2 linked regions of the Arabidopsis thaliana genome follow. The protein of the gene in region 2 interacts with the protein of the main gene of each other region in a pairwise test. Each region holds a gene or a part of one and is shown on either strand. Other genes may lie near its edges. The genes, in order: AT3G60150 and AT3G21400.

Region 1 (15,174 bases), about 15 Mb from region 2:
CTAACTAGATCCCAAATATATTTGTCTCAAAACAATTTCACAGGTTTAAATTAATATTCTTATGCTCGTTCGTTCGTTATGATAATACATAGTACGTAATTATTAAAAATTAAGTATTAGTGCGAATATCGTCACTCACTCACTATATATCATGCATGTTGTTGTCTTGTTGATAATTCTTTTTACTTTCAGATTATACAAAATTAATTTTGAAAAGTTTAAATACTTCAAAACAAGAAAGTAATTCTAAGAAAGACATTCCTTTTAGATATATATACGTATTTCTAAATTAAATTTTTGGTCGGCCTAACGTATATTTAAGAGAATTCAATTTGTTTTTCTCCAATGTCCCCAAACTTATCAATCATATATTCAATAGGGTTTTTGTTTTGTTTTGTAGCTGGCATCACTTTTCTCTATAAACTCAAAACTTGTCTCACACTCTCTCCGGCTCCTGCAACTCCATCTGAAAACAAAACAGAAACTTCATCGTCTCCAATCATCTCTAGTGCTTCTCACTTAGACTCTCGGTACGAAGACACGTGTCTTCTCAACCCAAGAAAGAAGCTATGTTCAAGCCCTTTGGTTTCGCAGGTAAAGTTGTTACTCTTTCACTCGAAAAAATGATATTTTTTTTCGTTTTACCTGATTGTGTTTGCTTTGATATGAGCAGCAGAAACTGGTTCTCATCTCCTGACGACGCAATGGTTGCAACTAGGAAACTCACTTTGCTTGAAGGAACGTATAAGCATCGCTATGCAAGTGACTTTCCTCGCTTTCTTTCTTATTCATTTGGCACTTAAATGGTTTGGTGTAGTAAGAAACAGAGGATCTAATGATGTAGAAGAAGACTTGAAGAAGCAGAGCATAACTGTGAAGCAGAGCTTCTCTTACAACATATCTCTTCTCTGCTCTGTTTCTATCTTAGGGACTCATTGCTTTATCTTGCTTTTGCTGTTTCGAGACAGCGTGGTCTCACGGTGTGATTCCTCTGTTTCTGTCTTCTCCGCTGAGGTTTCGCAGTCTTTCTCGTGGTTGTTTGTTTCTGTTGTTGTGGTGAAGATCAGAGAAAGGAGGCTTGTCAAGTTTCCTTGGATGTTAAGGTCATGGTGGCTCTGTAGTTTCATCTTATCCTTTTCCTTTGATGCTCATTTCATTACCGCGAAACACGAGCCTCTCGAGTTTCAAGATTATGCCGACTTGACTGGTCTTCTTGCATCCTTGTTCCTGTTGGCTGTTTCAATCAGAGGCAAAACCGGTTTTCATCTTCTTGAATCCAGCGGTAACACAGAGCCATTACTACTTGGTGACCAAACAGAGCAGAACAAGAAAGATTCTTATTCTTCTTCTTCCCCATATGGAAACGCTACTCTCTTCCAACGCATCACTTTCTCATGGATCAACCCTTTGTTCTCCCTTGGATACAAGAGACCTCTAGAAAAAGATGATGTACCAGATATCGATGTGAAAGACTCCGCTCGATTTTGCTCTCATGCCTTTGACCAGAAACTGAAAACCACCAAAGAAAAAGAAGGACCTGGAAATGCTTTCTTCTATAACTCGGTTCTTCGCTATGTGTGGAGGAAAGCCGCAATCAACGCGGTATTCGCAGTTGTAAACGCGAGCACAGCTTACATCGGACCATATCTCATCAATGACTTTGTAGAGTTTCTAAGTGAGAAACAATCCCAGAGCTTAAACCATGGTTACCTTCTTGCACTCGGGTTTCTAACTGCGAAAATCGTCGAGACAGTTACTCAAAGACAATGGATCTTTGGAGCTCGTCAGCTAGGACTACGTCTTCGAGCAGCTTTGATATCACATATCTACCAGAAAGGTTTAGTTTTATCAAGTCAATCTCGGCAAAGCCACACGAGCGGAGAGATCATCAACTACATGAGTGTAGATGTTCAGAGAATCACTGACTTCATTTGGTATGTAAACAACATATGGATGTTACCAATACAGATTTTCTCGGCGATTTATATCTTGCAAAAACATCTGGGACTTGGAGCTTTAGCTGCATTGGTCACAACTTTAATGGTGATGGCTTGCAACTACCCCCTGACAAGGCTTCAGAGAAACTACCAATCAGATATCATGAATGCCAAAGATGATAGAATGAAAGCAACTTCAGAGATTCTTAAAAACATGAAGATTCTGAAGCTTCAAGCATGGGATAACCAGTTTCTCAACAAGGTTAAAACATTAAGAAAGAAAGAGTATGATTGTTTATGGAAGTCTTTGAGGTTACAAGCTTTCACAACTTTTATCCTTTGGGGAGCTCCTTCATTGATCTCTGTGGTGACTTTTGTTACTTGTATGTTAATGGGAGTGAAGCTAACAGCTGGAGCAGTCTTATCTGCTCTTGCAACGTTTCAAATGTTACAAAGTCCGATTTTCGGTTTACCTGATCTCCTCTCAGCACTTGTTCAGAGCAAGGTTTCTGCAGATAGAATAGCTTCTTACCTTCAACAAAGTGAGACTCAGAAAGATGCAGTTGAGTATTGCTCAAAGGATCATACAGAATTAAGTGTTGAAATAGAAAATGGAGCATTTAGTTGGGAACCTGAGTCAAGCAGACCGACTCTTGATGACATCGAACTGAAAGTAAAAAGCGGAATGAAAGTGGCGGTTTGTGGAGCTGTAGGATCAGGAAAATCAAGCTTACTCTCTTCAATCCTAGGGGAGATTCAGAAGCTGAAGGGAACAGTCAGAGTCAGTGGTAAACAAGCTTATGTTCCACAATCACCATGGATACTAAGCGGGACTATAAGAGATAACATTTTGTTTGGAAGTATGTATGAAAGTGAGAAGTATGAGAGAACTGTTAAAGCATGTGCTTTGATAAAGGACTTTGAGCTTTTCTCGAATGGAGACTTGACAGAGATTGGAGAGAGAGGGATAAACATGAGTGGAGGTCAGAAGCAAAGGATACAGATTGCTCGAGCGGTTTATCAGAATGCTGATATATATCTACTTGATGATCCTTTTAGCGCCGTTGATGCTCATACAGGAAGAGAACTCTTTGAAGTATAATAATGTTCATGACAATTTGTTCGTTTGATCCTTTCTCTCTTTAAACTCCACACTTGACTATGTTTTGTTTTTACTTGTTTTGCAGGATTGCTTAATGGGGATACTGAAAGACAAAACTGTACTTTACGTCACACATCAAGTTGAGTTTCTTCCAGCAGCAGATCTAATCCTGGTAAGAGAAACAGCCGTTGATAATAAGCAAATGCAAAAGAGGCTGTTAGTTTTTCCATTAACATTAGTGTGTGTACTTTGTATACTAGGTGATGCAAAACGGAAGAGTGATGCAAGCAGGCAAGTTTGAAGAGCTTCTAAAGCAAAACATAGGTTTTGAAGTTCTTGTAGGAGCTCATAACGAAGCGCTGGACTCAATTCTATCAATTGAAAAGTCAAGCAGAAACTTCAAAGAGGGATCAAAAGATGACACAGCATCAATTGCAGAGAGTCTCCAGACACATTGTGACTCAGAGCATAACATTTCAACAGAGAATAAAAAGAAAGAAGCAAAGCTAGTGCAAGATGAAGAAACAGAGAAAGGAGTAATTGGCAAAGAAGTTTACTTGGCATATTTAACAACGGTGAAAGGCGGATTGCTTGTGCCATTCATAATATTGGCTCAGTCTTGCTTCCAAATGCTACAGATTGCTAGCAATTACTGGATGGCATGGACTGCTCCTCCAACTGCTGAATCCATACCAAAGTTAGGAATGGGTCGGATTTTACTTGTTTATGCACTTCTTGCTGCAGGAAGTTCACTTTGTGTTTTAGCACGGACTATTCTAGTCGCCATAGGTGGACTTTCAACAGCAGAGACGTTCTTCTCAAGGATGCTCTGCAGCATTTTCAGAGCTCCAATGTCATTTTTCGATTCAACTCCAACAGGAAGAATCTTGAACAGGGTGAAGTACCAGAATCAATCCAACAAAAAAACATGGTTTTGTTTTTTATAATCAAGACTGAAAATACCTTTGGTTTTTTCATGTTTTGTAATAGGCATCCACAGATCAAAGTGTCCTGGATTTGGAAATGGCAGTCAAACTAGGTTGGTGTGCTTTTTCGATCATTCAGATTGTTGGAACCATCTTCGTCATGTCGCAAGTTGCTTGGCAAGTTTGTGTCATCTTCATTCCAGTAGCAGTAGCCTGCGTGTTTTACCAGGCAAGAGAGAAAACAAATCCAATTTCTTGACAATGATACAACAAATCTTGCTTACTTTTTTGTTTACTCGTGTTGTCTTTAGAGATATTACACACCAACAGCAAGAGAACTGTCACGCATGTCAGGAGTAGAAAGAGCTCCAATTCTCCACCATTTCGCTGAATCGCTTGCTGGTGCAACAACAATACGTGCTTTTGATCAACGAGATCGCTTCATTAGCTCAAACCTTGTTCTAATAGATAGCCATTCAAGGCCATGGTTCCATGTTGCATCAGCAATGGAGTGGCTTTCCTTCAGGTTGAATTTGCTGTCTCATTTCGTCTTTGCTTTTTCTTTGGTGTTACTTGTGACTCTCCCTGAAGGTGTCATCAATCCAAGTAAGTCTCATACATCATAAACCATAAAATACATTGTCTAATGGGATCAGAAATTAAACTTCATTTTCACTTTTCCTTACAGGTATTGCTGGTCTTGGGGTCACATATGGCTTAAGTCTGAATGTTCTACAAGCCACAGTGATATGGAATATATGCAATGCAGAAAACAAGATGATTTCTGTAGAAAGAATTCTTCAGTACTCCAAAATCCCCAGTGAAGCACCTCTAGTAATTGATGGTCACAGACCTCTTGATAACTGGCCAAATGTAGGATCAATCGTCTTCAGAGACCTACAGGTAAATAACATAGTAGATGTCAATACATTCAGAAACAAGTTGTAATCAAGATTCTCAATCCTGAGATGTCTTTGTTCCAGGTCCGTTATGCAGAACATTTCCCAGCTGTCTTGAAGAACATCACTTGTGAGTTTCCAGGAGGAAAAAAGATTGGAGTAGTAGGAAGAACAGGAAGCGGCAAATCAACTTTAATTCAGGCATTGTTTAGGATTGTAGAGCCAAGTCAAGGAACCATAGTTATTGATAATGTGGATATAACCAAGATAGGTCTACATGACCTGAGATCAAGGCTTGGGATTATTCCTCAAGATCCTGCACTATTTGATGGAACAATCAGATTGAATCTAGACCCTCTAGCTCAGTACACTGATCACGAAATATGGGAAGTAAGAAACCTGCAAAATTTTCTCTGTAGTTCTTGTTTGATTTACTTTTGACAAATACTCTATCTAATACAATGTGATACTTAGGCCATTGATAAATGCCAATTGGGAGATGTTATTCGTGCAAAGGATGAGAGGCTGGATGCTACAGGTGAGGTTTCTGAAATCATTATCAGGAAACGTTTTTAAGTTAATGTTTTTTGGACAATGAAAACTAAGATTCTTGAATGTATGTAACAGTGGTTGAAAATGGAGAAAACTGGAGCGTAGGGCAGAGACAGTTAGTTTGTCTTGGGAGGGTGTTGTTGAAGAAAAGCAACATTCTGGTGCTTGATGAAGCCACTGCTTCTGTTGATTCTGCAACTGATGGTGTAATACAAAAGATCATCAATCAAGAGTTTAAAGATCGGACAGTGGTGACTATTGCACACAGAATCCACACAGTGATAGAGAGTGATCTTGTTCTGGTTCTGAGTGATGGTAAGAACAATATACATGTGTTTTCATATACATTCACACACATAATTATGAGGTCTAAGTCACTTTTCTATGAGCAGGACGAATCGCAGAGTTTGATTCACCTGCCAAACTGCTACAGAGAGAAGATTCTTTCTTCTCCAAACTCATAAAAGAGTATTCGCTGAGATCTAATCACTTTGCCGGCTCGAATGATCTTCTCAGCTAAACACCACTAAAAGATGGATGATCTTTTGCAGAGAAAACGAAATATGAATTCCACAGTTAAGCTTAAGTTGAAAGTCTAACTAGTTATTTAGTACTACATAAGTTGAACATAGAAATGGAGAGAGCACCATGGTTAGAAGCATGGCGCATCGAAGAAAATTCAGTTCAACATTTTAATCAGTACTTGTGTTTTAGGTTCTATACTGAGTTTTCAGTGTGTTCTTGGAGAACTATCCATGTAACCAATGGAATAAAGCAGGAATCTATATCTTCTATTTTTTCAGATAAAGCTCAATCAAATTAAAGCTACGTAACAAGGTGGTAATCCTGTAAATTTCGATTTTTTTGCAAAAGTTTTACAAATAGAGTGAAATATATCATTTACAGTAGACAAGAAGACCATGTTGGTGTTTCAACTATAAAGATCGAGTCAAGCTGTTCGAAGTTTGTTCTACAGTATTCCAGAGGTGTTGAGTTTCTTACGATGTAACTCCATAAGGAAGCAATGCAGCAGCCACGATCCTGCCTTCCTCATTGAGTATGTTGTAAGTTGATGCAGCATTTCTCTGGATAGATCAGAGCGTTAATCAATAAGCACAGAAAAATACTCCAAACCAACAGAACAAATACTTGAATAGAACAAAGGACATACAGAATCAACAGTTTCTAGCTTCATGCCGATTGACTTTACGAACTGACGGACTTGGGGATTCAGTGGGTGGTTGTATCTTCCACACCCGACAATCAAGAGCTCTAGAGATTGTTTTGAAAAGAAAAAAACAGAAAAAGGAGAGTCAAAAACCACTGATGATACACTTCAATATGTGCAAAAGGTTTTTACTTTTTAGCCACTAAAAATATGGCGTACGCAAACGTATCATACAGTTTCCAACGATCCTGGAACAAAGACTATTGTATAAGGAATGTGGAAGAAATCAACTTACAAAATGCTAAAATGTATAGTACCTGGAATTGGTCGAACCGTCTGGAAGATTGACAAGCTGCATCCATGAATTAGACATGTAAAGTGTTTAGCAATGACACATTAACTTCAAAGTAGAAAGAGTAGATAGATATTACAAAGTTAGATCAAACACAGCAAACAGATACTAGTACGTACAAGAGAGGCCACACTAGACAGACTTCAACTTTCGCTGAAAAGGACTTAACTAAACATTCATTAGAGAGGGTCATGAACAATGAAAAGATTATAACTTTACGCAATCTCTTAACTCTAGCTCTAGTCCTGTATAAGTAAGCTGAAGAGAAGGGAGAAGGTGGTACTGGTACCTATCCGTTGTGATGTCGGAGAAGTAACGAGGGCTCCATGACATTAGCAAATTCCCAACACAGAGCAAGCTTCCTTCGTATTTAACCCCATTCACAGTGAAACTCGTCTCATCAAACCTGCAAAAAGCACCATTAATTGATTCATTTCATACCCGAAAATCCAAATTCCCTTGCTACATAGTCAAATTAGGAACATGACTGAGAGAGATGAATACTCCTGAAATCGGAGCTGATCCTCAGGAACGTTATCGATGAGATTGATCTGATCGTAGAGAGAGAAAGCTCTTCTGAGAGATGGTAAGACAAGACTGGGCTGCTTCGTAACTTCGTTTCTCATGCTTTGAATCAGTTTCGGCAACGTCGCCATTGCTTTTTGTCTCACTGCCATCTTCACCGTCTCCAACTTCTCCGCGCTCTCAAGTCTAAACTGTTCCCAAGGGAAGACTCTTGAACCAAAGCGGTTTATTGGTTTCGGTTTCTAACCAGAAACCAATGATCCAAATCGGTTTGCACTATTTAATTGCAACCATTCCGATACACTACTTACTTCTTTCTTTTTTTGGTAAGTCAGATACACTACTTACTAAACAGATTGATTATTCCGTTTACGTTTCGGTTAAGAGTTTTTTATTTATTTTCTGTTTACCAATTTAAAACCGAATGTATACAGTAGATTGGTTTGATACTAAATTTTAAGGAATGTAAAACCGTTTAATTTGACTAATGCAAAACCATTTCATAATTTTAAATCGATTTTTAACTATTCGGTTTGTTTTGGTTTAGATTTTTCATATTAATGACGTCAAATCAGAAGGCAATCTTACGGGATAAAAAATATAAATGAATATATTCATCTTTCAATAACAAAAACGCAAAAGCCAAACGTTATGAGTTTTTTTTAATTTTCTTCAATCTAGGTCTACAGTGAAAAGAAGAAAAACAAAACTGGAGTCCACATCTTAGAACGAGAGACACTTCACCACGACTCAGGGACCAGTCTGCTTCGAGAAATGGAGCGACACCGAGTTTGACTCTATTTTCACCAAAGATAACAAAAATCTCCTGAAAACTATATATAAGCTTCGGATATTTTCTGGTGTAACTATAGTAGTTTTATTTTACATCGGACCGGTTGTTACGTTTTTGACTTTGCTCCAATGTTTTATGCCAGCGATAAGTGTTGCTGACGAAGAAGAAAGCTAGCACAAGTTTTGATCTCTGACTGGGTACTGTATGTAATTGTGTCGTTTTTGGCTGCTAAAATGTTTAAGAAAGCCACAATTTGACACTTGTCAGATAAAGATCCAGCATATTTTTGGTGACGTGATGAAAGAGATTGTGGTGCGATCAACAATTTGTTAACGATGTCAAAGAAGGTGATCCTCATCCAATATTATTATAAACTGTAGAAAAAGAAAAAAAACAGTTAAAGAAGTAAAATATTGTTGTAAGAAATAACAAATAACCATGAGATAACAGTTTAAGAATAGTTTATAATATACATCGCCTTGCCGCGAATAAACATTTATATAAACTTAGTTTAAAAAAAAAAAATCATATATATGTTGATTAACGATATATAATATTGTTTATATTATGAAATTTTTTAATTGGCTGTTGAACTCATTTGAAGCGTCGGATTAATTAACAGCTTTAAAATAATATATGTATATTGTCACACAAAGCCAGAACCCATCATGCCAGTATGCCACCCATTAGATTCCAAGAAGAAAATATTACCATGAAAATGTTCATATATTAACATGAGCTAAATTCTAATTAACTACATGTCCAACCATAAGGAATTTAAAAACATAAGGGATTTGAAATCAATAAAATGAAGATGGGTTCTCTATGCCTTGCAAAACACCAAAATGAGTATGAGGAAAATCAAAGGAGCAACGATTATTCTCCTCATCTCTCCTCGATTGGTTCATTGCCATGAAAGATGCAAAGAAACCCGCCGATTCTTCGAAACCCTTAAAAGTCTTATTCCCTTCCGCGCGTGACATCTCCTCTACCTCCTCTTTGTTACTCTCTCCGACGACCGATTTCTTAAGGAACCGCTTAAACCATTTGACCGAATCTTTTGGATAACGTTTGAGACCATTGACAAAATCAACATAGTATAGACCAAATCTTGCAGTGTATCCATGCTCCCATTCAAAATTGTCCATCAATGACCATGCGTAATATCCTCTTACGTCACACCCATCTTCCCTATAAACATATCATAAATTTATTAGTTAAAAAAAACTCGACCGAATTTGATTAAATATTGTCAGAAAGATCAGAGACTAAACCAGAAACAGATCAAGAACTAACACTATAGCTTTGTGAAGTTCTTCGAAATGTGTCTTATGGTATTCAATCCTAAATGTGTCCTTCACAATTTCTTCTCTTGGTTTTGTACCGTCGTCGTTGTCATTAATTCCTGTAATTCAGTAATCAACGTAAATTATTAATAGTCACACCATTTTTTTTTTTTTTTAAATCAGTTTGTTGAACTGGTTAGGGAAATATATTTAAATCAAACTTCAGTTTCAATTCACTGCTAGGATATTATTAATGTGTGGTAGAGTTAAAAAATAAAAAAATAAAAAAATCTTTAGTTAAATAACTACGTACTAAAAAGTTTTCTGAATTTCTAGTTAACAAAAAAAAACTTTCTGCTTTAGCAAAAAAAAGAAAAGGAAAGAGTTTCTGACCATTTTCTTTGATGTAGACTGGCATGTTATTGTATCTCTCTTTAATATAGTTAAGAACTTTTCGTAAGCCTTCCGGGTGTGAAAATAAGAAGCCCCTTTCTTCCTGAGGATATATAATACAAAATTTAAAATATCTTAGAATGATTACATGTAGCTTTTGAAATTGATAGTTATGAAAAAAAGACGTAAATACGTACCCCAGGTCCGATGATGTGACCACTGTGATTAGTCACTGTTCCAAAACAATTTATAAATCTTGTTTAGTTTTACCATGTAAGCTTAATTTATATATATGCGTATGGATCAATCTTTAGTAATTAATTAGCATTACTTACGTTTCCATTCCACATGGTGGTCAGTTTTGAAACGAGGTTTTTCAGGGTCTATGTGAGGAAGATGAGCAGCGAAGCGAGCCGTGTAGTAATTAATTCCAACGAAATCTGATGAATTTTGTAACATCTTTGATTGTTCAACAGTAAATGAAGGTAATTTATTTCCCGCGTACTTTTTTACAATCTCTGGATAATCTCCGTGAATGACTGGATCAAGATGCCTATACACATATAGAATGAATATCAAGATTACAAATAAATATGATGAGAAGCAAAATCGTTAAATTTTTTTGCTTATATAACTTACCATCCAATTTCAAAGGCAAGAGCTCGTTCAGCTGCTTCTTTATCGTCAGTTGAATCGGAATGATAAGGCTCGAACCATCTTGGTGATAGTACTATCCCAATTTGGCCATCATGCGAAGTTTTTTCACATTTTCGAAATTCTTCCACTGCAGCGGCATGGGCAAGAAGAGTGTGATGTGAAACAATGTAAGGCTCGGTACTCGAATCTCCAGCCTGACACTTTTCGTTTACCCATTTTGAGCATCGTCCAGCCGCCTTGTTACCTTGATCATAACCCGCAACAGTCATTATATAAGGTTCGTTGATTGTTGTCCACATCTTAACTTTATCTCCAAACTCTTCAAAACAAATTCTTGCAAAATCTCGAAAATCTTCTCTGTTTTCAAAAAAAGTAAAAAATAAATTAACAACAGTATATTAATGTATACAATAACAAAACTTTTTTGCGTTTGAAATATTATATATGTGTTAATTTGGCTTACACGATTTTAGGGCTTAGAAAGCCACCATATTCGTCCTCCAAAGATTGTGGGTGGTCCCAATGATAGAGCGTCATCGAAGGTTGTATGTCTGCATGTAATTAGTATGATTTTATTTTGATTATTTGAGTTATAACCGCACCTTTAATTTAATTAGAGAACTTTAACTTAACTAATGAATTAATAATCTTACCATTAGCAAGAAGTTCGTCTATGAGATCCTTGTAGAATTGTACACCTTCTTTGTTTACTCCATCCTTTAGCTTTCCACCTATAGTAATTAAAAATTCACCACATAACGAATTCGTATAAATAAGTGTTAATAAAAAAAAAAAAATCAACAAAAAGAGAGAGAGAGTAAAAAAACTTACTGGGTATTAATCTTGACCACGAGATTGAAAATCGGAAAGCGTCCATGTTTAGCTCCTTCATCAATTTTATGTCATCCTGTTTTATTTTTGTCGGATTAAAAAGGATTCGTTAATCAAAAGATAAATAAATAAAAATCTTGATAACCAAAACAAAAATGACATCTATATATAAGTCCAAGACTCCAGGTTCAGTGCACCAACTTTTCAAGAAAGTAAATTGACTTATTTCGAAAGTTGTTTTAAATTTGATGTTTTATTTACAAAATTTAGAGATAACCTGATTTTTGATATAACTCATTTACAAAGAAAATTTGATTTTTTGCTTTTTTTTTTCTTTTGATAATAAGATTAATTATAAACATGTATGATTTAAGTAAATAGCTTGATTATAAATATTGGATAGTACCTTGTAACGATGATAAAAATCAATTGCTACATCTGCATTATGCATTTTGGTCCTTTCTGCAGTCAAAGAATTAATAAAATAACCATCAGTTTTTAGTCACATCTCACAAATATGGTTTTGTTGGTATAGAAGTGTCAATAAAATCGGTCCGTTGATTTTTGTAATCGGACAGACCTGGATACGTGAGGCTGAAGTGATCCCATATAGTTGGAGACTTGCCACCTTCACTTGTTGCACCTTCGTACTGCATAAATATATACTTTTTAAAAACATATTTTGATCGCAGAGCTAATTTGTAAAGCAGATATTCTTTTTGTCCCCAAATCAAAACATTACAGTTTTATTATGATGATGCAAGCAACTTTATATGACAAGAAGAGAACATTTGAGGGGGAAATGAAAAAAGGAACGTTAGCATCTGTAGACGTCAGCAAATAATATAGTATTTGATATTTTCTCCTAGTTAATTAAATTGAAAGTCGAGCAGCCTTTTCCACTTTGAAGTCCAGCTGCCCAGATGTGTTTAAGTTTACGGCTCACTTTTTTTGTTTTCAAGAAAAAAAAAGAGAGCATGTTTTGTAATTAAAACTGTTTAAAAACACCTAAGTGAGAACCCGCAAGCAAAAAAAGAAGTGGATATTAGACAAGAGGATCCACATGAAAATTCTTTTGCAACATTTTTAAACGTAAATTAAATAACTTTTCAACAGTTAATTTCTGAACTAGTTATTTTATTCTACTATGACTTATATAATATGACCATAATACTGCAAAATGGTAAAATTGTATTTTAGAAAAAAAAAATATGAATGCATAATGAAGATAAGATTATTAAGCAAATTATTTTTTTAATTTAATTGTGAATTTGATCCCAAAAAAAAGAGTGATATTGCAGAGTTTCATGATTGTTTCAACATTCAAAGTAACATAATCAAAAGAAAACAACAGAATAATTGAATTTAAATAATGATTTTAACTCTGTGACTAATAAAAATTGTAGAATCACAAAGCTATTTTGCTATTTTACATATTACAAATCAAAGAAATTACCTGAAACGCCGAGGCAGCTGTCCCAAAGATGAAATCATCAGGAAAACTATGCCGATCTAATTCTAGAGAATTGATCATATTTTCTAACATTGAGATGATAAAAAGGATAATGAAGAACCACGATCCCTTAGCCATTTTTCTCTCTCTCTCTCTCTCTTTTTTTTTTGTCTGTCTTTGTTTTTTTGCTTGGTGTCTTTTGAGATTTCAAAGTGATGAGATTTATTACTCGAGCTTCTCTTCCTTATATAGAGGATTATCCTCGGTAATATACGTCATCTACGTGGAAATGTTTGGACATATATATCATATCTAGATAGAGAGATAACTTATAGTATTTTTCTTAATAACATAAGATTTCTTTCCAAGGAAAGACTATATACATATATATTATTATATAGGTCTCGAATTCCATTTTGGGTTCTTAGTTTTGTACTATTTTTGGCACAATCATATTTAAGGCCAGGAGCTTTTTTTGTCCACAGTCAGTTTTGAATGTGCCCGTGATCACTGCTAACATTCACCATCGTCTTCTCTGAATATTCCCGTCATTATTGCTCACATTCACTTACATGTACATATGTATATATAATCATATATTTGTGTGTAAAGTAATGTTTGTGTTGACTGTTGAATGTGGTCAACATTATGGCTACGTTCACTGTTAAAGTGTTAACATAACGAAGAGTGCATGTATTTCGCGTAGTACGGCTACGATTTCAAATGTGTGTCATCTTTATCCGAAAATCATGCTGATTTGTTCTGTATAATGATCATTTTAATTTTACCGGGTATATCATACACAGAAACAAGCTTTCGTAATATTTTGGGCAATGAAGTTTTGATAAGATTTTAATTGCTTAGAAACAATCTTTTGGACATTTGACTACACATGCACTGAATTGAGAAACTAATTGGTACGAAACTAAGAATCATATATATGAAAGTTGGCCAACTCTCTTCATATGATTGACACATCATCACTTTAGCATTTGACATGTGTCTATTAAATAATTAATGTAAGCTCTTCAACTTCTAATTTATAGGTTAATGATATATTTCTTATTTAATTTTATTTTACATATTTAATTATACTATTACTAAATTTATTTTTATTTTATATGATTTTTCAATAAAACTATTTTAATAGTTTTCTCATACTCGAAGATTTTTTTTTGTAATCCAAATTCAAAGTATGAATGTATAATAGTCGTAGATTACTTAATGATTTGAGTAAGTTATTCTCTTAAATTGATATTTATATTCTCTTATGATATTTATAGAATAAATCACTGACGCTGAAGAATACGTAAGGAGCTTTATCATCATATTCTTAGGTTTCTAGAATCCAATACTACCCTCTGTTAAATTAATTTAAGATAAATGTTGTTTATGAATTATATGTATGATGCATTGTTGAGAATATTGTTAGAAAAAAATATTTTTAATACTAAAGTAATTGCTTATTGTATGAGTGAATGATTAGACAAATAAAAATTAAATTTAAATTAAATAATATAAAATAATCCAAAAAAACTGCGGCGTAGTACGGGTGATCATCTAGTGGTATTAAAACAGCAATACATAATTTCTTTTTACTGAGTGCAGATTTTGTATGGAAGATAATCAGAGAAGAGAAAATGTACATCTTCAATTAAAAAAAAAAAAACAGATATGAGCAATTGTCCTTATCGGATTCCACTAAGGAAAAAAAGAGATGAGAACAATCAACTGGCAGTGACATGTTTTCCTATTAAGAAATTGTATATTGTAAAGGAGCAACTAATTTTCCAACACAAGGAGATGGGCTTATATATTCTTCTTCTTCTTTTTTTTGTCTTGTCCCTCCCTTTTAGTAAATTATACATTTCTATATTTATGATTTAATAATAAAATTTAATAAAACATATAAGAAATTAGGAGAAAAGGTGTATTTTTTATTTTTTTCATTTGTTACCTACTATCATTTTCAAGAACGAAACAATGTCTAACAACGAAAACGAAAAAAATAATGCAGGAAACAAAAAGATTAATACAAAAGAACTTATCATTTATATGAAAAGGAAAAATATCCTTCGTGAGAAAGTCAAAAAATATCTTTTTAATCGAGTATTATTAGCTCAATTGGTAAAAGATCTTAAGCAAAGTTTAAAGGTCACCGGTTTAACGTTTGGGACAAAACTAATATTACATGCTATGATTTCAGATCTAAAAGGATTATGGGCTTTGGCCAAAAACTTTATGCTATTAAAAAAATGTTTTTTATAAAAAAATCATAATAGTTTTAGAAAAATGTATTA
Region 2 (15,554 bases):
TTTAGAGGCAACAACAACACTGTACATATTTTGGATACATATATGTGGGTACATAGTAACCCATTTCCTTATTCTAAACATGTCTTAACTACACTGCAGCAGAAACTATACAACATAAGAAGAAACCAAAGACAAACTCGTCGTCCTTCTTTTATTGTCCGCGGGATTGAAGCTTTTGCTTTAAGATCTTGCAAAGAAACTCGACTCAGAGCTCCTCGTGTAGCTTTGAGGACTTAGATGGTTTCAGGCCTGGTTTGAGGAATTCAGAAAGCCATTTTGCGGATTCTTTCTCCATACGAGTCAAGTTGTTCTTGAAGTCTATGTAGTAAACTCCGAACCTAGCTGTGTACCCGTCTTGCCACTCGAAGTTGTCCATTAAAGACCACAAGAAATACGATGTAACATTCACCTTGTCTTCACTGCAAGATACAAAAAATTGAATCTAAATGGAAAAAAACATTTGTACTTAAAAGATCAAAGCTTACAACAAAGTGAGGAACTGATCTCACCATATAGCTTCATTCAGTGCCAAAAGATGCCTCTGGAGATAGTATTTCCTGTTGTGGTCGTTGAGAGCAACGCTAAGATCTGTATCTTTATCGCCAAGGTCCTCCCCGTAGCCTATAAAAATAAGATTCCGAAAATCAACAAAAGTAGAAAAACGGTATATTATAATAAAAGAAGATTTTGAATTCTTTAGTAACCATTCTCAGTGATTATGATCTCAGGGCTGTTGTATCTGTCCTTAATGTATTTCATGAGCTTCCTCAAACCCTTAGCGTAGACAGCCATCTTAGCAGTGTTGGGCTACAAGAAATGATAGTTGTAAAGTAATTAAATCATAAATTAAAAAAAAAAAAACTTTTTGGTTAAGGAAAGTTGTTTACCTGGCTACCAATTTTAATGGATCCATCCACAGTCTTCGCTGAAAATGTTTTTAAGAATTTAGTTTTAGTAGATTACTAAAGTTTTGGTTTTGCTAGTTATGTTAACACATTGACATATAGCATAATATATCATTTAACATGATGTACTATTGTATTAGGTAAGGAATAACGAAATAAACGAATCTTACGTTCAAATTCGACTAGAGCATCTGTAGCCCAAGTCGGGTTCCGACTATCAACCTTCTGGTCAGCCTTTGCAAAGAAGGAAGTGTAATAGTTTATTCCCACGAAGTCTGTCGAATCTTTCAGTTTTGCCTTTTGGGCTTTGGTAAATCTTGGCAACCGAGATCCAACCGCGTCTTTCATAGACTGAGGATAGTCCCCGAACGTGGTAGGATCCAAATGCCTAAAGAAAAAGAAAAACACAATGTTGCAATTATGTATATATATAATCAAGAATAACATTAAAATATATCAAGAGTTGATGATTTGTGTTTTTAACCAGCCAATGACGAAATCAAGCACACGGTTTACAGTCGCTTGACCTCCTTCCACATCTTCGGGTTCAAACCAAGCTGGACTATGAGCGATTCCGATTTTACCACCTTTGCACTTTTTCAAAAAACCGAAAAATTAATAAGTAAAACTTTTAAAAAAGTTGGTTTATATGTCACTGTGGAGAAACGAATGTGATTAAATAGGGTATTCTGTTTTTACCTTTTCGCATTTTCGGAAAGCATCAACAGCTTCAGCATGACCCACGAGTAAATTGTGACTGACAACATAAGGTTCGAATCCTGACCGTCCATCTTGACAAAGCTTTCCAAACTCTTTGACGTAAGGAGAACAACGTCCTGGTGCTTTCTTCCCAACGTCGTAGCCCGAACGGCTAAAGACCCATGGCTCGTTGAACGTAATCCAGTTTTTCACTTTGTCCCCATACTCGTGGAACGTGAAGTTTGCATACTCCACAAAATCAGGCCTATATATTCACATTTTAAAGTAAGCAATTATACTTTGATATTACGTATAGTAGAAAAATTACTATTGTACGAAACAACTTAAAAACAATAATCAAATGTGAAGATATGACATGTACACTTACACAATACGTTCGCTTAAAAAGCCACCGTATTCATCTTCCAAATCGGCGGGAGTATCCCAATGAAAAACCGTTACTAATGGTGTTATGTCTGAAAAACAATAATTTAGTGAGAGTTAGTTTTTTGCAGTTACTATATGTTACTACGATAAATAAATAAAAATGTAGATATAATTGTGGATATATAGAGTTAGAGAGAGTCTATGACCATTTTTAAGGAGCTCATCAATAAGATCGTGGTAAAATTGAACTCCTTCTTTGCTTATTCCTTTCTCCATCCTCCCATCTGTTATATTATTCAGTAACCAGCTCTTGTTGGAAACCAATAGTAATTCTAAAATTCTCGTGGCCTATTTTTATTTGTTGAGGAACTCATGAATGGTTTAACTTACGAGGAAATATTCTTGGCCACGAAATAGAAAGTCTAAAACCATCAGTGTTCAGCTTTTTCATCAACTGGATATCCTCCTGTTGATTTAGATAGGCATACGAAACATTAGTTATAAAATTAAGTAATTAACATGACTTCGTAGAGCCCATGAATCTAACGATTCACTATGAAAATTCTAATCGATAAAACTTAATAAAATAAATAACTATAAAAACTGAACCTTATGATGCACTTTATCCTAAGTGTTATATAGTTACCAACTTTTACAAGATTAACTTAGTTCTTTTTTTATTTAACTATTCATCTTGTGTTGTTCCAAATTATTCTTTATACAGTTTTGATAAAATGTTTTCCCGAAATTAATTATCTGGACTACTTCAATCATCTTTTAGTTGTTCGAACTACACGTGAGAAAATGATACTATCAATGATCAAACGTTTAAAAAGAGAATCTAGAAGCTAATACCTTGTAGCGATGGTAGAAATCGACGGCCTCGTCAGCATTGTGATTCTTAACTCTATCTGCAGTTTAAATATAGTACAAAATGTTATTTATTATCACCAGATATCTGGTTCGCTACACAGTTACTTACTATAATACTGGTCGTTAACAACTCTTTATAATACCTCTTGGAATCAAATTCATAATAACACACGAGTGATGAATGCATGTTTTAAAAAAACCGACAACTAATAAGTGGACATATATATGCTTCGTGGTCGAAATAAATAGAAAAGAAAAGAGACAGACGTGGAAATTTCTTGGTGTAGATGTCCCACAGGCTTGGACCTCTGCAACCTTCATTTACTGCACCTTCCACCTATTTTAACCATATAAATACATAAATCATTTTCATTGTTCCATTTCCCAACATATTCTTAGCTTCACCCAATGTTTTGTAAGTGTTTTAATATCACCATTTCTATGGATATTTTATCTATTTTGTATACATATACATGTACCTGAAAGGCTGCGGTTGCGGTACCAAACATAAAGCCCTCCGGAAAACTTGCACGGCTAAGAGTTTCGGTCTTCGGGCAAACAGGTCCTTCTTCAGCCCTTGTCGGAGAGCCGACAAGACTTATTAGTAAAAGTAACCCCAAGAGAGGAATCTTCATTGTTGATTTTTTTTTATAAGCTCACGAGTGTGTTTTTGGTCAAAAAGTTCAAAACAAAGTGGAAGACTATGTTGATTTGAAAGGAGAAATATCGTTATATATTTATAGATATATACATGCATATATGCATGTACGTGACACCGATCAGGTGATGAATTTCAAAGCCCAAATTGTATTTGGAGGCCGCCAAGTGTATTTACACTATTACATGCAGATTGATCAGTTCTTGAAGGCCAAGTGTCTTTTTGTCACTCTCACTATTGCATGCACATTGTCAATTTTCTGTTATAGTCTCCTCGTTTTAAGGCGTGATATTCGCATGTGTTTGTAATATTCGCATGTGTTACACATTATGTGTACGTCAAATAAATCTCACATCTGGATGTTAAGATTGAGTGTACGATTCTGTAGAAGCACAAGTGGATATTGAGACCAAGTGTTTGATATTTGAAGGGTCATAAGCGGATTAGAATTTTAATAAGTGGAACAATTATCATATAGAGTAACGTGTGATCTTTAGATCCACAAGTTTGGGTTTGAGTCAGTCGCTATCTAAATAAGTCTCCATGTCTATATAAAAACGCACTTGCATGCATCAGTCATCACCACACCAACTCTCTCATCTCTTTTTGTCAACAAAAAAAAAACACAGAAGTACGTACGTAGCCTCTCTTTCTTAATGGTTCACTTCATTATTTGCATTTATTATAGCGTTACAAGAAGTTACAACTACAAAAGGAAAACTTAATTCTCTTCACCCTTTTGTATATATTATTTTTCAGTTATCTTACAAGTATAATGAAAATGTTATAAATTTATCTGAAAAATGAAAAATGCATAGCCGTTTTTGTTTTTTTTAATGAAAAGTTTAACAACCGGTAAGATATGATCAGATACAATGGCGGCCGCAACGATGTCTTGGGACGACGGGAAGCACATGAAGGTGAAGAGGGTGCAGATTACATATGAAGATGTTATCAACTCCATAGAGGCTGAATACGACGGAGACACTCATAACCCTCACCATCACGGCACTCCTGGCAAGAAATCTGACGGCGTAAGGGTTTAACAATGTTGTAAAACCTAACTTTTCACATAAAAGATATTTACATGAGTAGCAAAAAAAATAATCTGACGGCGTTAGCTAGTACTCTTCACGACCTTCTCCATATATACTACATCTTTCAATTTATGGATGTTGCAATGGGTTTAGTTTGGTCGGTCTCGGTCTTGTGGTCTTGACTCTTGACGGGTTGCCTTAGTTTGATTAACTGACACTTAATTACTAAATGAAAAGAAAAAATGATGGGTCCTGCTAGGTCTAATAATAGCATATAAAAATGAATTAGGGCTAGGAAAATTTTGGTCTACTATATTTTTGTTTATAATGATTTATTTATTGTATACTTTGATCGAACTAATGTAATATATTTGTTTTTGTAGGTGAGCTTGAGCCCAGACGAGTACATAACAGATGTTACTGGCTACTACAAAACTACAGGGGCTGAAGATGCTATAGCAGCATTGGCTTTTAAGACCAACAAAACTGAATATGGTCCTTACGGAAACAAAACAAGGAACCAATTCTCCATTCATGCTCCTAAAGATAATCAGATAGCTGGTTTCCAAGGAATTAGCAGCAATGTTCTCAACTCTATTGACGTCCACTTTGCTCCCTTACCTTCCTCTTCGTCGTCATCGTCCAGTTTGAGTCAAGCCAACAAAGTTGATGCTCAAGGTGGGAAAGGAGGAACATCATGGGACGATGGTGCTCATGATCATGTAAGACGAGTGTACATTGGACAAGGTGATTCTGGTGTCACTTATGTCAAGTTCGAGTACGAGAAGGACGATAAGAAGGAATCACGCGAACACGGAAAGAAGACCCTTCTAGGAGCAGAAGTGGTGAGTATGTTTAGTTCCTTTCCTATATTATAACTAGAAAGTTCAAATCCGTTGTACTTTAGTTATATTATGACCGATCTTGCCAAAGAATTAACTTATTTGAAATCTCTGTATAGTTTGAGGTTGATCCAGACGACTACATCACATCAGTGGAAGTGCAATCTGACAGGATATTTGGGCAAGACACGGAAGTTATCACCTCCTTAATCTTCAAAACATCCAAAGGGAAATTCTCACCGCCCTTTGGACTCGAGGGTTCACAGAAATATGAACTCAAGGACAAGAATGGTGGTAAACTCGTTGGGTTCCATGGGCGAGTAGGCGGCGAACTTCTTAATGCTCTGGGAGCTTATTTCGCTCCTTCATCCGGTCGTGGTACCCCTTCAGCCACTCAGCCACCTGGATCAGCTCAACCAACTGGATCAGCTGGTGCTAAGAAACTAGAAGCAAAAGGTGGTAACGTGGGAAATCCATGGGACGATGGTCCTCATGAAGGTGTGAGGAAAGTGTATATAGGTCAGGGTGATTCTGGTGTATCATACGTCAAGTTTGTCTACGACAAGGACTCTAAGGAGGTCCCCGGAAATGATCATGGGAAAAGAACACTACTTGCACCTGAAGAGGTCAAATATGTATACACATAGAAGAACCAGCATATAACCTCATTTCTAAATTATTGTTTCATATTAGATTTTTTTTTTGTTTTTTTTTTTTGCAGTTCCTTCTTGAATATCCAAACGAATATATAACATCGGTGGAGCTTAACTATGACAAAATATTTGGAACTGAAGGTGAAATCATAACGATGCTTAGGTTCACAACGAACAAGCGAACCTCTCCACCTTTTGGACTTGAAGGTGCCAAAAGCGTCCTACTCAAAGAAGACGGCCACAAGATAGTTGGCTTCCATGGCAAAGCGGGTGCTGACATAATTCACCAAGTTGGAGTCCATGTCAAGCCTATTTCCAAGTGAAGTTTGTAATATTTTCTCAAGTCCCGGTCTAATAAAAATGAGCTATCAAAAAATCTCTGTTCTAGAAATTGTCATTGTACTTGTGTAAATGGTAATAAGGTCTTTGACAATATGCTACTTGTGTGTTTGTTTGTGTTTCAATGTCTCCTTATACTGTACTGGATTGGAGTCTGTAACACTGTTTCAACGGTTTCTAAGACGTATATATAAAATCTTGGTTACGTTGATTCATATAATCATATATCTAATTTGCAAAGTGGACAGTTGTGGGTTGTGGCAAACGTGGTTGTGGCGGTCGACGAATCATCCATTGGAGAAGACTAGTGGCATAACACATCACTAATTCTCTCTTTCTTATCCATGGTTATTACTTTCGCTCTACTTTTAAAAACTATATGATCCAAAAGATCATATATGATTTGTTACCCTGCAATTTAATTTGAAAACCTTTTATCTAAAAAAGAGATTTATTTCTTATAATATGATTCTGTTTTGGCATGAAATGGATCAAAATTAAAATAACGCATACAAATTTCATTTTCTTATTATTGAAAATTAATGGATAAGAATCTTCATAAATTTTAAATAATTTCATTTTATAATATTTATAAAAAAATATTCTAATGGTTTGATGCATAATGGATTAAAATATTCCATTTATCCTATTTTATAAAATTGGTTAAAATCATATATTAAGAAATAAGAAATATTTTTCATTTATGAATATTCAGTCAATAAAAGAAAAAGAATACTGCCCAATTCATCATAAACTATTAAATTAACATAAATTATGTATAAAACTAGAGAAAACCTTATGAAATAGAATAAAAATAAAAGCCTAAAACATCTTATATATTATAAAAGCCTTAAGTATAAAGCTAAAGAGAAACTGCAAATTTGAGGTCAATACTTTTACAACCTTTTTGTGTAGAACCACAAATTTTAAAGTTTTTGTTTTTATAGTGTTATTGCTTTCTTATTAGACCTTTTTTTTTCTTTGTTACGGATTGTTCTTCTTCTTCAGAGCACACAAGCTCTGAGATCCCATCAATAAATGGCGGTAACAGAGTCCTCTGTTTATTTACTCTAACAAGTCCTTTAAGGTTTTAATAACCCAGTTTCATGGGGGTTACTTCCTTGTATCTAGCCCTGTACGTTCCTCTTCTTTCATTTACTTATCTAATCACGACGAACACTTTCCCCAATTTCCCAAAAATCTCATCTTTTACAATCGATTTCTCTACATTGTAATTCTTCCACATAGTTTCTCTGGATAGTTTCATTAAAGTTTGAGTTTTTATTGTTTTTCAATTAGTTTATCTGTGACATTTATTCTTCTTGCGAGCAACATCGACTGATTCTTACCTGTATGTTTCGATTTCACATAGACACACGAGAGAACGCTAATTTCTAGTCCTCTGTTTTCGTGGATCAGTCTGTTTTTTCTATGCAATTGTGTGTTCTTGATGTTGTTGACACAATGATTTCAGGTTATAGCAAGGAGCTCGTGATCATGAGTGGTACAGAGTTAGATGAGCCTGGAAAGTTAAAACGTGCTGTCATTGATGCTTCTGCTGGTGGTGTTGCTGGTGCGATTTCACGTATGGTTACCTCTCCCCTTGATGTTATCAAGATTAGATTTCAGGTAAGTAAAGAGTCCTAGTTCATTGGTTTTTGTGGATTTGGATTATGCACATATGTGTTTGTGACTCAAGAAAATTTCTTGGCATGTTAAACATCTTTGCTTTGAGAAAGTAAGAGCAAAAGGAATGGTTATTGAAGTGAAAGTATTGAAATTTTCAGGTTCAGTTGGAGCCTACAGCTACATGGGCTCTGAAAGATTCTCAGCTGAAACCGAAGTACAATGGTTTGTTTCGAACAACGAAGGATATCTTTAGAGAGGAAGGTTTATCGGTAAGTCGTTGCCTAGATAATGTTCTTTTGAAGGTGTTAACTGTTGTATTTTGTTATGCTGAGTCATTTACCAATGTTGTCATCGATGCAAAGTGTTCACACCAATTCTTTTCTTGGCAAATGATTTTTCATCATCTCTAATGGTAAGCTTAGTTTTGTTGAGTTGGAATGTGAAGTGTTATAAATATCTTGATTACGATGCAGCCTCGTTGATTTAGACTTGTCTGATGTTTGAGAATCTCCACGGTTATGATACATGATATTCAACTGCAGATTTTGAGCACTCATAGATAGCCTTTTTCTCTCTACAATTTTGTGGACACTGATAACTCAATGAATGACCTTATTCTAGACTGCTTTAGGAATTGATTTCTTATGGCTAATAGACACTTTCTGAATTTTAAATCAAGTTGCTTATGGCAGGGTTTCTGGCGTGGAAATGTTCCAGCTTTACTTATGGTTGTGCCTTATACATCCATACAATTTGCAGTCTTACATAAGGTGAAGTCTTTTGCCGCTGGTTCATCAAAGGCCGGTACATCACTAACTTTGAATAAATCTGTTAGTGACATGTATTATATATCCAAGGTGTGATCTGTACACTTTAAAACGCTTAGGTTCATGTAAATTTAACTCCTTTAAATGAGCTGTTTATGGCGACATGACTTGGCTTTATATAATTCATCTACATATCAAACCCCTTGAAAATTACACAAACCACAAAAGAGAGAACATTCCACAATGTTTCAGAAAGTTAAAAGATAGATTTTAGCATGTTGTTTTTGACAGGAATTCTGAATTCTGATCTTCTGCAGAAAATCATGCTCAACTGAGCCCTTATCTTTCTTACATCAGTGGGGCACTAGCAGGGTGTGCAGCAACAGTTGGATCGTATCCGTTTGACCTATTGCGGACTGTATTGGCGTCCCAGGGTGAGCCAAAGGTACAATATTTCTTCAGTAAAAGAATGTGATGACATAGTTATGGGTTCTCTGTAACGTTTACTCCTGTAAAATCAACAATATAGTTTGAGAAAGAAAGGAAAAGGATAAAGTTTTGAGAATGCGTTGACATAAATAAAGTCATTTTTTGAGAAAGCGTGAAACCCATCTATGGAGTTCTCTGATATTCATAGAAATTTTTATTATTTCACTGATGTCTTAGTTAACCATGAATTTATTATCAGCTATTGACGATTGATATATCGAAATTTTTGGGTTAGGTGTATCCAAATATGAGGTCAGCATTTCTGAGTATAGTGCAAACTCGTGGAATCAAAGGGTTGTATGCAGGATTGTCCCCTACTCTGATCGAGATCATTCCTTATGCTGGTCTGCAGTTTGGCACCTATGACACATTTAAACGCTGGAGTATGGTAAGCTATAGCTTCATGAATGTTCTCAATTTTTTTTTCCTTTGGAATATATAACATAGATACACACCATTGCCTCCACCACAACTTTGTGTTCTAAGCAGCAGATTATCTTGAAGCGGTATCTGGAGTTCTCATCTCACTGTTGGTATACATTTTGCGCTAGGTATATAATAAGCGATACCGATCTTCTTCATCAAGCTCAACGAATCCAAGTGATAGTCTTTCTAGCTTTCAGCTTTTCCTTTGCGGTTTAGCTTCGGGCACTGTTTCTAAACTAGTCTGTCATCCGCTTGATGTTGTCAAGAAAAGATTCCAGGTTAGTTTTTTGCCATCTTGTGTTTTAGCTATGTGTTCTTAATGTTTTACCACCGAAGTCCATGTTACCAGAAGCCTAAAGTGATTTTACAAAGCATTTTAGATCAAACATCAAGGTTTGATACAAGAATGTTTGTCGCTGCAGGTCGAAGGTCTGCAACGTCACCCAAAATATGGAGCCCGAGTAGAGCTGAATGCTTACAAGAACATGTTTGACGGTTTAGGGCAGATATTAAGATCTGAAGGTTGGCACGGGCTTTATAAAGGCATTGTTCCATCAACCATTAAAGCTGCACCTGCTGGTGCTGTAACATTTGTGGCCTATGAACTTGCATCCGATTGGTTTGAGGCAAATTTGACCTGAACTTGTAAAATTCTTCAATTCTATTTGTAAATCTTATTCTATTTTGCTTTTGAGTAATAAGTAATATAAGATTCCATCCTTCTCTGAACAGAGACCAATAATGCAAACTCTTTCTTACTAGGAACGGTAGATTTTCACTAAATCTATTCATTCATATCAGCAAAGTGTGTTACTGCTGCAGTTTTCAAAAAGAATCATGGCTTGGTTGAAAAAAGCTTTGTATTCTTAGCTACACAGTTTTACATTATTGCTCAGCGAAAACTAAAATTTAAAGTCAATGTCATCTTTGGTTCTGTGTTACTCATCGAGGCACAAAACTTTCTAAAAACTGGCAAGGACAAAAGAAACCAACCAGTTCTGATTACTTCTGAATATGAACGAACAGAGCCTTTACTTTTTTATTCATATTGTTTCTTCTGCTTATCAGTAATCTCTTGAGGTAAAGACAGGAACTGAGTGATCTTCTGAACCTGAGAGACATCAATCCGGTATTTTTCAGCTATCTCGTTAACACCCATTGGACCATGGTGATCCTGAGATTTTCCCTGAAAGAGAAGCATGATGTGTCGCACTTGTGCTACGTTCAACGTTCCTTGAGGCACCGGGTTTTCCTCATATCTTGTTGATTCAGGAGTTGTGTTCCGGAGCTTTGGGAGTGGCCTTTTCGATGTCTCAACTACTGATGCCTATATAAATCACAAGTCTTATCAGTTTAGTCAGATAGATATATGTCTTCATGGATTTATACACAGGAAAGACCAAAACCCGCAACTATATGGCCCTTTTGCATTATCTACATTTCTACATTTCATCTCTTATCCTAAACTTAATTTACACCATCAATCACTGTCAGCTTTAAGATTACCAGCAGAAGAATGAGACAAAATCTGTTCACTTCTTAGTTATGCTAACTATTTCATTGGTGTGACACAAAACGCTATCAAAGGTTTTCTAATCTGGTTACGCTACATTAAACAGTTACTCTAAAATGTGAACTTGTTCAGTCCAATATAAAATTCTAGATTGTTGCCAGAGACTCTGGGGCAAAAACCTTAACATATATTCCAGAGCAGAATTAGAAAGCAACCCAGCATTGTTCATGAAACCTTTTGAACCCATCTTATCTCTAATACCTTAAAATCAACCAGTAACGAAACCTTTTGAACCCATCTTATCTCTAATACCTTAAAATCAACCAGTAACGAAACCTTTACATGACTAATGACAAAAACTCCACAAGATGTGACTAAGAGGCAAGACAAAGGGTTCATATACCATTCTCAACAGCTACATAACTAAGATAAGCACCAACTATCAATGCAGGTAATCAGGTGGATCTATATTAAACATCCAAAAGTCACATACTTGTCCTGATGAGAGGACGAGAATCGAATCAATGCATCAAATCAAACAAGAGATAAACAAAGCTTAAGGAAACAACACTACAAACCTCTCCCATCTCAGCTTTGCCTCCAGGTTTAGCTTTTATTCTCCCAACCATTTGGTTCAACATTGTATCATACTTGGGGTCTCGTTCCTCTAAAACATTATCCTCACTGGTTCTTCGACCTTTATCTAACAACAGATACATACCCAAATTCAGATCAAAAACGAACAAAAATTTGGAAACGGTTAAGAAGCAGCCCATCAATCTAAATGTTTATAACGGTGAAAACTTTCGAATACCCAAATGCGAGAGATTTAGGGTTTATACCAGAAACTCCATCAACGGCGGCAGTAGACGGAGACGATTTCACGGCACTGAGCTCCTCCGTAGGAAGCGATCTCCGATCAATGGAGACTCTTGATGGTGATGATCTCTCAACTTCTTTGATTTTCCCAACAGCTCGACGCAATTGCTGACCCATCACCGCAAAAACACACACTCTCTTTCAGAAACAGAAAGAGTCCAATGGATTACGAAAAGAATCGAAATTTGTAGGTATTTTTCTGCTGCATCCGATGATTACAATGGGGGAGAATTCGAATTGGAATCAAAGGGTAGTGGAAGTAGCTTCATCAGCTGTGTTCTTCTTCATGTATTGAATGGGGCAGAGAGAAGAAGAACGTGTTCGTGTTGAAAGAGTTACACGCGCTCGCTTTGAGAGCTTGAAATAAGTGAATAATATTAAGTCAGTACTACGTCGTTTTGAATTACCAGATAGTACTATGTTGTTAACACATGGACCAAAAATCAAAACATTTCTTGAACTTTCGAACCGGAGGATCATAACATAGATTACATGACCTTTCACATGACTAATTAACAAAACGTTGAAAAAACTTTAAACTTTTATTCTGGTGTATTATCCTCCGATGATGGAACCGGAACAAGACTTGGAAGATATGTATAGCCGGAGATAAAAGGCCAACTAAAACCTAGTTGGTGTTGTTCTATCTCATCTTGGCTTTTGATCTCATCCTCTCCAATAACGTAGATGTTGACGGCTACGTTTCTTTTATCTGCCAATACTTCCTCACAACATACTACGATCCTATTATTCTTATCAATGAAATGCACCGGATAAGAAAGATTCTCAAAAGCCAGCAATACCGGGAGATCAGGTCTTGTCACACTAAATAACTTGGTCCATAAGATACTCACTCCGTTCTTAACCTTGTTAGTAACCCATACATCGATCTTTGATGTTTCTTTGCTTTGGTGTAACAAAGAAAGATTGTCTCCTTTGAAAGCTGATAAAGCTACAACATTATGTACATCATACCTAACGGGAAGAGAGCACAAGGGCTCAAATGTCTCTGTAGAGAAGTTAAAGCTTTGGATGAAGATGTCGGGTTTACGGTTCCATTTAGCAATCCAATACATGTTTCCTTTGAGTGACAAACCTTTACAACGCAAAACCACATGCCAATCCAAAGAAACTTTAAAAGTTTTCCAAGAATTAGACTTTAATTCATAAATATCAACCTCTGGTTTGTAAGAGCCCGTATTTGCATACTCGTTTTTGGTAAAAACACCGTTTACGAACCTCAAGATTTTGTAGCTATCCCGAGATAAACCGTCATATCCAATGCCGTAGCAACTACAACCCCGGAAAGAAGGATTCAGGAGAAAGATCCATCTAACCTGGTTCAAACATGGGTTCCAAACTGCCATTGAACCTGTTTCGAAAATGCATAACAATAACCCGTCGCAGGGAACCATAGTATAAATCTCACCTTTCACTTGAAACTTGTTAGGAAGTGAAAAAGATGAGCAAGCTCCAACTACCGGGTTGATGATCTTAACCATTTGATTGGTCCTTATGATATGTTCCCGAACAAGAGCTAAGTGCTTGTAAATGAATCTCTTGTCGTTGAAAAGAGCGAGCCATCGTTTGCACGTCAACTTGAGTCGTAAAAGAGATTTAGTTGGAACCCTACAAAGTATTTCTTCAAATAACTCAAAAGGCAACAATGAACATTCTTTGGAATCCATGGCCATGGAGAGGTATGGCTTCTGGATCTTTGTGAATAGATTTATGCATGAAGCTATATATAATTTAACATGTTGGAACCACGCCATCTTATAAAGATTGTTTTAAAAGAGAATCTGATTCAAATATTTGGAAATAAAGATGGTGTGGCGTGGATCAACATTTGTCAACTTAATTATCTAATTTTACAAAACTAAAATAGATGGATAAAGCAATTAAAGTAAGTAAAATAAAGAAAAAATCTGAAATATATATTTTCCCTCAAAAGTTCCAGTCAATTTCCTATTGTTCCCTATGAGATTTTATTCCATATAAACTAATATTAGCATTTGGTGAACTATAAATATGATTTGTTAAGATATTCTTAAATCAAAACTTTTTAAAAACTATATTATTATATAGTTATAGCAAAAGATTGCGTGGACCAGCATTCCAACTTGTCTAGTTAAGAAAACTTAAATATATATATATATATACCAATTAAAGCAAAATGAATTAGATTTTGTAATATATATATACCAATTAAAGCAAAATGAATTAGATTTTGTAATATATATATATTCCCATAAAAGCTCCGGTCAAATTTCCTAGCGTTCAAATAAATTTTATTTTAATCTTTCATTTAACATAGTTATTTTGTGTTGCCCACAATAAGATGCCCCAAAAAGCCCAAATGAAACTAGTCAATAAGATACACCAAAAGGAAGAAGCCCAACACTAAGGCCATGATTGAAACAACTAAAACTTGAATGAGTTAGCTTCCAATTTAAGGAGATGATGCGAATATCGTTGAAGAAGAGATATTACTACTTGTAGTTCATTTCCACTGATCGCAAGCCAAAAAAGTAGTTAGGTTCTGGTGGTGAGGAAAAGTGTAAAAATGATAAATAAGATTGAGAGGTTCTGCTTAGTTTAATTAAAGTAGCATTTCCAAAATACTTTTTTTTTGCTCGAGTCAGTAGTAATAGTCTTTTGTGTTTTCTTCATTAGACATAATCATGATACCAAACCAAACACATTCCTCTTTCTTCGGAATAACTATTATTTTCTATTTTATTTTTGTTTTTTTCTCCTCCCACAGATTGTAACCTTTATCGTCAAGTTGTAATTAAAAAGATTCCTCTAAACAATTCGTCAAAAAGCTGAAAAGATTCCTCTAAAAAAAATTTCACTACACTTCTAGATTGTCTTTAGACTAGTACAATCTCCTGTGTTGACCTAAATGCACAATAGATTGTTAATTTAAAATGAAGAAATGCGAAAACATTTTTAATCTAAGTTTGTGGTTGGTGAGTCGAATGTTATGAATAAAACTCATGACTTTTATGTTAAATACGTATGAAAATTACTATGAAGAAAAGTAACAAGAAAAATAGTGAAAAGAAAGAAAAAGAGAAGAAGGCACAATGTGGGAAGGAAGTGCGACGAGAAGATCACTAGATTTGGTCGGCACATCACTTTCTCTCTTAAACTCATAAACACAAAGCATGGCCCCTACCTTAACGTACCCACTTTCTTCTTTTCAACCCCACAATTTCTAATATCCTCAAGCTCACCCTCTCCACATTTAGTGTGCTCTTTTTCTTTTTCTTGTTCTTTTACAAATAAATAAATAAATTATTCTAATTTATTTTGTACTTTTGTTCCCCATTGGATTGCAAGTCTACTTAGATCTTCAATCTTCGTGGTCGAGAGGTTGAGAGAGAGAGAGAGACGTACAAGTTTCAAGTATGAGTAAAGACTTCCAAATTAAGACATTGGTTTGCAAGTTG

What was found.
Region 1: the proteins of AT3G21400 (region 2) and AT3G60150 interact in a two-hybrid assay, tested with the Arabidopsis thaliana proteins (one large-scale study listed by BioGRID).

Annotation. Positions count from the first base shown.
Region 1 is NC_003074.8:22,214,591-22,229,764, reverse strand, and holds AT3G60150 (NADH dehydrogenase ubiquinone 1 alpha subcomplex assembly factor-like protein (DUF498/DUF598)), read right to left. Parts: upstream 7,794-15,174; 5' UTR 7,614-7,793; coding exon 7,441-7,613; intron 7,343-7,440; coding exon 7,226-7,342; coding exon of another isoform or gene 7,144-7,225; exon of another isoform or gene 6,937-7,143; coding exon 6,902-6,936; exon of another isoform or gene 6,690-6,901; intron 6,689-6,689; coding exon 6,588-6,688; intron 6,502-6,587; coding exon 6,415-6,501; 3' UTR 6,253-6,414; downstream 1-6,252. Other genes in the region: ABCC9 (multidrug resistance-associated protein 9), read left to right, coding at 570-594, 674-3,033, 3,125-3,211, 3,300-3,935, 4,030-4,194, 4,277-4,571, 4,654-4,868, 4,949-5,254 and 3 more; DIN2 (Glycosyl hydrolase superfamily protein), read right to left, coding at 9,055-9,445, 9,551-9,659, 9,934-10,036, 10,131-10,165, 10,269-10,486, 10,573-10,947, 11,054-11,141, 11,244-11,321 and 4 more.
Region 2 is NC_003074.8:7,524,081-7,539,634, forward strand, and holds AT3G21400 (dynein beta chain, ciliary protein), read right to left. Parts: upstream 12,444-15,554; 5' UTR 12,214-12,443; coding exon 12,060-12,213; coding exon of another isoform or gene 12,002-12,059; intron 11,921-12,001; coding exon 11,796-11,920; intron 11,032-11,795; coding exon 10,744-11,031; 3' UTR 10,500-10,743; downstream 1-10,499. Other genes in the region: BGLU19 (beta glucosidase 19), read right to left, coding at 206-419, 510-621, 705-807, 888-925, 1,076-1,293, 1,390-1,499, 1,605-1,869, 1,993-2,080 and 5 more; AT3G21371 (uncharacterized protein), read left to right, coding at 3,624-3,830; AT3G21380 (Mannose-binding lectin superfamily protein), read left to right, coding at 4,398-4,556, 4,943-5,404, 5,521-6,027, 6,123-6,377; AT3G21390 (Mitochondrial substrate carrier family protein), read left to right, coding at 7,825-8,022, 8,181-8,291, 8,715-8,826, 9,107-9,234, 9,514-9,666, 9,830-9,982, 10,127-10,345; AT3G21405 (uncharacterized protein), read left to right, coding at 12,002-12,208; AT3G21410 (F-box and associated interaction domains-containing protein), read right to left, coding at 12,639-13,871.